Oryzias latipes: one gene and its partner. The main gene of each other region encodes a partner of the protein of the gene in region 2 in a complex. Links are inferred from orthologs where the notes say so. Each region holds a gene or a part of one and is shown on either strand. Other genes may lie near its edges. The genes, in order: nup62 and nup58.

Region 1 (4,222 bases), on a different chromosome or scaffold from region 2:
AACTGCTTCTTTTTGTCATATATAAAACAATTTAAAGAATTATTTCTAATGAATCTTCCTTTTCTATATAAAAAAAAAAACATCTTCAGCTTCTCCGTAAATTAAGTTTAAAACATTGTTTTGACAAAACTCAAACAAATGCTGAAGTCAATTCCCCTTCAAACGAGTGTCATAGCAAAAACATCCTAATTGAAAATCCACCTTGCAAGTATTAACCCTTGTGCTATCCTAGGCACTTTAACATTGGGAGTGGGGTCATCTAGACCCACTAGACAGTGCGCTGAACCTTTTTTCTTCAATGATTTGTGATCTTCACTGGTGTCCATGGATTACATGAAATCTTTCCACCTTTGTCATGGTAGGGAGAACACGTCAATGTAAGGGTGGGGTCATCTAAGATAGCACAAGGGGTAACATCAGTCTTAGAACAAGAAACAAATCTTGTCATTAGATGTTTTTCAATCCTAAATATAGATAAAAAACAGGTAAAATTAGGATGTGAAAACACAAAAAAGTTCAAAATTTGTTTTTAATCATTCTATTCAGGTAGATACAATTATAAAGATGATTGCATTTAAAATAGTTTTGCAACACACAATAGAAGTATAATAAAGGAGAAAATCCAAAGCAAAATGGGAAAAATAAGCACTGAGCCAAAAAACAAATCAGTCAAAGGTTAGACGAAAGGTCTTCTCCTGCTCTTTGCGCTGGGTGTCGCACTGTTTGGACACTTCCTCCACTCTTCTGTGCAGCAGGACAGAGTTCTGGTCGATCCACTGCAGCGAATCCATGTGAGCATTCAGGATCTTGCAAATCTGCTGAAGCTAAAGGATTCAAAAAGAAAGGAAGGCGATTAAAACAGCAGAAGACTTGATTTTATGAGAAATATGATTTAAAAAAAAAAGGCTCAGATCTTACTGGATCACTGGTGTCTGCCGGCCCGCTGGATGTGTTCAGGTGCTCAATGATCTCCTTCAGGTCCTGTGACATCCTCTTCAGCTGGGCGTCCACGTTCTCAGCGAGCTTGTATGTTCTTTCGCGTTCCTCGTCTGCGTTCTGCATGTAGATGGTTCCGCTCTGCTCCTTCACAGTCTCTTCCAGAGGGCAAAGCAAGTCCTCCAGCTCCTTCTGCTGGGACAGAATGAAATCGAGCTCCTGGTTGAGCCTTCTCTGGTCCAGCTTCACCTTCTCCATCTCCTTATGCAGAGACGTGATCTTTTCCCCGTTCTCCACCAGCATTCTGTCCCAAGCGTTGACCTGAGTTGCCTGCTGTAAGAAATGCCTCTCTTGGTCCTGAAGTTCAAGACTCCACTTGTTTATGAGACCCTCCAGCTGGGCGTAGGTCATCACCGGAGGGGCCGTGGTGGTGGTTGTAACGGCTGTTGCTGTGGAGGCTGTTGTGGAGCTTGAGATGGTCGGAGGTTTGAATCCCAGCGTGAAGCCTGCGGTGGCATTAGCTGTGACAGCTGCAGTTGTTGTGGTGGTGGTGGAGCCGGTGTTTGCTGCTGTGCTGGCAACGGACCCCAGAGGCTTGAGCATGAAGGATGGAGCTGTACCTGCAGCTGTGGATGCTGCCATGCTGGTTGACAACGCTGGAGCTGCACCCAAAGTAAAACCTGAAGTTGGCGCTGCTGCAGAGGTTGTGATGATAGGTGACGCAAACAGAGACAGGCCTAGGGTGGGGGCTGACTGGGTGGGGGCTGACTGGGTGGATGCGGGAGGAGCTGGTGTTGATGAGGGTTTAATTCCGAAGTTAAACCCTCCACCCTGGGTTGGAGCTGCTGGAGCTGCAGCTGCTGGGGCTGGCTGGGTGAGGGTGGAGGGGGCAGGGGTCCCGAAGCTGAAGCCTCCTCCCCCCGCTGCGATGGTTGTGCTTGCAGCTGAGGTCACCTGGACTTTCGGCGCTCCGAAGCTGAACCCTCCGAAAGCCATGCCACCTGATGCGGTGGTTGTTGTAGGTGCAACTGTCGCTGCGGGTGGGGCCTGGGAGGTAGCCCCAAAGTTGAAGCCCCCTCCCGCTGGAGCGGCGCTGTTCGTCTGCGAAGACAACATCCCGCCCAGGGTGAAGCCGGACCCCGCAGCTGGAGCGGCCGAGGAGCCTAAGGTCAACCCAGTGGCGGCGGTGGTTTGGGTAGTCGTGGCCAGGCCGAACGTGCCGGTGGCGGCGGCGGCGTTGGGTGTGCCAAAGGAGAAGCCGGTGCCGCCGGCGGAAGAGTTCTTAGCCGGTGCGCCAAAACTGAAGCCACCGGTCGGGTTGGCGTTGGTCTGACTCTGAGTCGGAGTGCCAAAAGAGAAGCCCGTTCCCGAAGCCGCAGCCGTGGAGTTCGTTAAACTGAAGCCCGGGGCCGGAGCGGCCGCTGTGGTCTTCTGCGCTCCGAAGGCAAAACCCGAAGGTTGCCCGAAGTTGAATCCGCCACTCATGTTCTTCCTCTGATAAAAACAAAATGACTTTACAGCTTACGAACAAAATGGTATCTTTCACCACAGTTTTTGGCGGGTCGCTAGCACGAGCTGCCGGTTCAACTAGCTTCACCGAAGAAAAACCGTCTAATGAGAGGACTTCTTACGTTAGCCACGGATATTTTAAATCATAGTCTAATAACTAATTCTTTCACTGTGCCGGTAAATATAATAATACTAGCGAAGCATCTTTAAAAAAAACGTGGGTAACTGACCAAACGTTTCTTTGAGCATACTTTCTGTTGTAGCTAAAGGAAGTGACGCCACTTTCAACATGCAATTTTGCCCTCAATTCTGTCTGTCAGAGAAAAAGCCCCACCCTCTAGTTTAGATTGACATCCTTAACACCAAATTACTGTGCCGAAATGAAAAATGCTGACATTTGATTGGTTTTTATTTTTTAACCTTACAGACAAGCACTGGGGATCAGAGCGACGGCATTTCAACCAGTCAAAGAGTTAATAGAGGACAAGAGATGCACAGAACGCACTTTTTAGTGTCGTAGATATGAACTACATGTTAATAATTCCTCTTGCATTTTGCTAAATAATTAAAATTATATAAATTCGTTTTGTTGTTAAACGCTTTAAAGTAAAACAACATATATTTTATTTGTCACGCAAATATGTATTACTTTCTACATTAGTGGTGTTTTTAGCGGTCTAATCTAACCCATCTGATATGCGGGTTAGGAACCAAAAGTGATCAATTTGTAGGTGGCGAACATCCCAAAAGTTGTATTCCAACCACCATAAAATAAAAGCAGAAGAATAATCTATTTAAATTGCATAAAAGTTGTCATCTTTATTTTATAAAGACTACTGCAAAATAGTTGCGTTGTTCTCTCGGCGTCGAATCAACTCTTTGAACTTGCTAGCTCAGCTGCGGAGTGGGTGCGTTTGCCGTGTTGACTTTTGACTGAATTTTACAGAGGACGTCCGAAGTGAGGGATGATGCTTTAGTCCGTCTGTGACCATGCCTGCAGCAGGAATTCAGTCCAAGTGGAAACACGGTCGATAATCGCAAACGTGCGGGCGAACTGCTGAGTTTAGCCAACAAGCTAGTGTGTCAACAAGCGTCACATATTTATTGTTGTGGCCGCGTGCGCCATAAGAATTCGGACGTGTCGTGTGTGTTTGAAATCTGATCAAGTCGAGGCCGGAGAGCAACATGAGGCTTTTAAGGTTCCTGAGGAAGAGCGTGGCGGTCGGGAAGGACATTGACTATTACTCAAAGTTTTCTCCTTCGCCTTTATCCATGAAGCAGTTTCTGGATTTTGGTAAAATGAATTTTAGATGCTTTAAATATAGTTGTAATTTACTCCCCCTCTCTCTATGTGTGTGTATTCTAGCTTATGGTTGGAATTTTAAAGGATACTTTAAAGTATTTTTGAAAGTCCTCCATGTTTTTGTCTTCCTTCAGGTTCTGAAAATGCATGTGAGAAAACATCCTTCGCCTTCCTCAGACAAGAGCTCCCTGTGAGGCTGGCAAACATCATGAAGGAAATTAATTTGCTGCCAGATAATCTGCTGAGAACTTCATCAGTTAGCTTGGTCCAAAGCTGGTGTGCTTTTGTTTTTATTAATATTTTCCTATGAGTTTTCTGTTTGCACACACGTTTATGGATATTTTCCATCCCTAGGTATATGCAAAGTTTCCAGGACATCCTTAAATTCAAGGACAAAAATGCAGACAATGAAAAAGTCACACATGAGTGAGTCGTTTTTACTAGTGGACCAGTTCTACAGTCTGGTTTTACACA
Region 2 (3,821 bases):
TACAGCAATTCACTTTTTATACTGCCAGTATACTACAAATGTAGAATCATGGAAGACAATGTTAAGAAACCACACAAATAATTTAAATTCCTCAAGAAGTTGATTGGAATTCCATCTCTATATTACAAAAATATTAGTGTTTTTATGGAAAAAGCCAGAAAGGTTTTTCCTTTTTTAAATAAATAAACTCCACCAATAAACAATTAAATTAGGTTTGCCAATGATCCCTGTACGCACTGACAATGTATTAACACCGTTTTCTTTGCCTCTAGTTTGGATGTTAACACTTTCTACATCACGTAATACTGTAAATTCGAACTTGACACTTGGCCGTTTGATTTGGCACCAACATCTACCTCTCTGGTACCTGTGGAGCAGCGCGAGCGGCAATCCTCTATTCCCAATGACCTGAATCTCAACCAACCTATACGAAGATTTGACTGAAAGATTTTCTACACAAAACGAAAAGCACCTTACAACTAGAATCCAGGTCAAGTACCCAAATGTTAAGAAAGAAATACCTGAAACTCAGAATCAGCATTTGAACTCCACATTTTTCTTTGAATGATAGAAATGAACTAGCCCTGTTATGCCGACTGTAGCCCTTGGGTAAAAGTAATGTATCAAGAAACAGTGATATTGGCCTGATACCAAAATGACTCCATTCAATATCAAGCAGTGAGATGAAAAGTACATTTTTTTCTCCTGAAACCAAACAACTTAAGGCCAACAAAACCTGACTGGGTCTATTTCAACAAGGTCATCAAGCAGTCACTGAAGGACAAAGCCTCAGTAGAAATCAACACGTCTGGAAATTTGACATTTTCAATCCTGAGTCTTTGAATGTTTTGCGCCAACAAACAGTGTCAGGAAAACACACAACCGCACTGTCAATGTATGTGATAAAGTCTACCAAAGGAAAAGTGCTTCTGTTCACCCTCCACATGCGTCAAGTAACCCAGAAATAAATAGCTAAATAAATACAAGTTGCAATTCAGCATGGAAAAATTGATCCACTTATTTAAGACGTTGGCTATTCAGCACAACAAATCAGTGTTCAAAAAAAAATACTATTCTGTGGCACACGGTCAGAAAATGATTGGCAGTGAGTTTAAATGTAAAGAATGGATTCTCATTGAACAGTGATCATAGCACAAGTATGCAGATTTACAACTAGAAACTTTATAACTTTATAAACACAAAGCAAAACAAACAAACGCAATCTTCAGCAGGCACAGAGGTGGTGTTCACTCGTAACACAACAGTGGGTTATACTGGTTGTGGTAATGAGATAGTTAGAGAGGTGCCTTCAGTGTTTACATTGTAGTACACAAATACTCCCATCCCTCCACGGCACATATTTTTTTTATGAAGTATGTGATTACTCAAAGAAGTGAAGTAATCAAAAGTAGAGGAAAACTACCAATGAAAAGCGAGCAGCACTTCAGTTAACACATTGCAAGTAGATATAACAGTCTATGCAAGTTTGGAAAGCTTTGTTTAAAAATAAGCAGCAAATATTGTTTGACATGAGACTGGAAATCCTATTTTTAAGGACACTGCCAACGAAGAGTGTTTAGACTTTGCTGAAACCCAGTCAAATATTGCTCTCGAAATCATCTGAAGTGTTTACTTCTTTTTGTTAAAAGTTTATGGGAACAAAAGGCCAGCAGAAACTTGCTACTAACAGCTTTGTCTGTTCATCACAACATTGGTGCCCTGATATGCCAGTAAGATGGCCTACAAACCAAAGCCTACAAAAATGGCTGACAATATCAAACACCACAGACGCGTGATGGAAAACACAGACTAGTCATTTCAGTTGAGAAATTGTTCAATAAAGCCAAAATGATGTATCCACAAGTGATGAAGATTTTAGGAATACATGTCCAACGGAAACGCTGAAAAATGTTTTTTGGACAAAGAGATGAAGTGATCGGAAACATTCTTAAATGGAAGTTAAATCTGCTCATTTTGGATCATGTGAACAGTTGAATTCCTAAATGTTTTAACATGTTTCAAATAATGAACTGTCTGATTTAAAAATTCTGATAAAGATCTGGAGAACTGCAAAAACCCTACAAGAATAGGTTATGTTATCTATAGCGGTCTACAGAATACTGTTAGAGTTTGGATTGGGATCTGTACATATTTTTCATAGGAATGGTGAGTTTTCTTCCATTAACAGTGTTTCTTTTTCCCCCCCAGTGATTCCACTGGCATAACAACATTTCAGAGGATTTTCTTTAAAAAAAAAAAGTGCAAACTGACAGAGTTAGGTGTTAATTGTGCACTGGAGCCGACTGTAACCTTACACTTAGACTGTGAGGTTTAATTGGATGGTAAGGCAGTGCAAAAACTCATGTCAGATGTCTCAAGCAGATTTCTAGATCCCTGTCACACACTTTTCTTTCAAAGTAGTTTACACACAGTCAGAATAACACCATCAAGTGTTATTTCTGATAATTCTGTCGTCTTTAAAATTACTTGCAACCAAAACACTTTGATACTTAAAAAGAACAAACAAAAATAAAACAATCACCCTGCCCTTCCAACACTTCTTATTTAGTTTCTCCTCCCTACTTTTATTCTCTTAACCAAGGTGATGAGGAGGAGTACTTTCTAGAACTTGTAGGCAGTCAGACCTGGAGTTGGCTGCTGTTGCTGGGTCAACGTGGCTGCCATGGCAACAGCTGCAGCGTTGGGTACGGTGGAGAAGGGAGCAGGCCCAGTTGTGACTCGTGATGCACTCTGCCATTTCCTGTTGGACGCGCGCTTGGTCTCAAAAATGTCTGTGGTATCTTCCAGAAAGGCTCGACGATAGGAAAGATACTGCTGCTTCAAAATCTGCAGCACCAGATATTAAAATATTTACATGACATTACCATACAAACAAATGGCAAAAACAAACAAATATTTAACTTTTTGTTAACAATTCTGTATCTGTGATTAAAAAAAAACTATTTGTTGATATATATAGTAATATTTAGGAGATTTGAAATTATCCGACACATTTTACTGTTAAAAAAAAAACCTGACCTTGACGTTCTCATGGACAGACTGAAGCTGAGCAGCCTGTGCGACAAATGTTTGGTACAACTTTTGCATGGCCATCGTCAAATCTGAAAGGAAAGAAAAACATCCTTAGGCTGTGTGCTAATTTAGCATACGCTAAAAGAAATGATAAGATATACAAGGCAGATGCAAAGCAAGAGTAGATAAACGTTTACAGGTGGCTATATTATCTATTTGTTTATCCTAAATCTTCATAAACAGACATGTTGGTTTAAAATACAGGATAACACATCATGAATAAGGACAAATTACCCTGAGGAGTGATGTGGGAGCCGCTGCTCTGTGTTGTCAGGTGATTTTCCAGCTCTTCGATCTGCTGCCGGTACTGTTGCAGCTGCACTTCAAACTGCTCCACAAGGCTTCGGAAATAACTAGTTAAAAAAAAGAAAAAGAAGTACTCAAGTTCCTGTCTATTAAAGAATTCACATATTTTTAGAGCAAAGAGGGAGCGATTTTCTTTGAATCCTTTGAGCTTTGAGGCCTCCTGGACATGTGGTCGTTGACTGACTTACTCTGATGGAGCTGTGTTTTCATGCTGGAGTCCAGGGGGGGTCTTCTGTGTCCGCAGTGCTATGTCAGCATTTTTCAGCTCCTTACAAACAAAAATAACATTTGAAAAACAGGTTTTAATTGACCTACTTCACATTGAGAAACAAAACACTTTCTCTACTCATTTTATTTCTAAAAAAAACAAGAAATTAAAAAAAGGGCTAATTTTTATTATTCATTAATTCATTTTTATATAA

Evidence for each region.
Region 1: nup58 (region 2) and nup62 share a complex: the UniProt entries of both Homo sapiens proteins name them as parts of the p62 complex. The link is inferred for Oryzias latipes from reciprocal best matches to the Homo sapiens genes NUP58 and NUP62.

What each region holds. Positions count from the first base shown.
Region 1 is NC_019879.2:22,073,845-22,078,066, forward strand, and holds nup62 (nuclear pore glycoprotein p62), read right to left. Parts: upstream 2,738-4,222; 5' UTR 2,422-2,737; coding exon 919-2,421; intron 825-918; coding exon 666-824; 3' UTR 512-665; downstream 1-511. Other genes in the region: pdk1 (pyruvate dehydrogenase (acetyl-transferring) kinase isozyme 1, mitochondrial), read left to right, coding at 3,631-3,739, 3,883-4,024, 4,103-4,174. UniProt on the Homo sapiens protein: Essential component of the nuclear pore complex. The N-terminal is probably involved in nucleocytoplasmic transport.
Region 2 is NC_019878.2:13,567,284-13,571,104, forward strand, and holds part of nup58 (nucleoporin p58/p45), read right to left. Parts: intron 3,668-3,821; coding exon 3,588-3,667; intron 3,447-3,587; coding exon 3,328-3,446; intron 3,123-3,327; coding exon 3,040-3,122; intron 2,848-3,039; coding exon 2,646-2,847; intron 1-2,645. UniProt on the Homo sapiens protein: Component of the nuclear pore complex, a complex required for the trafficking across the nuclear membrane.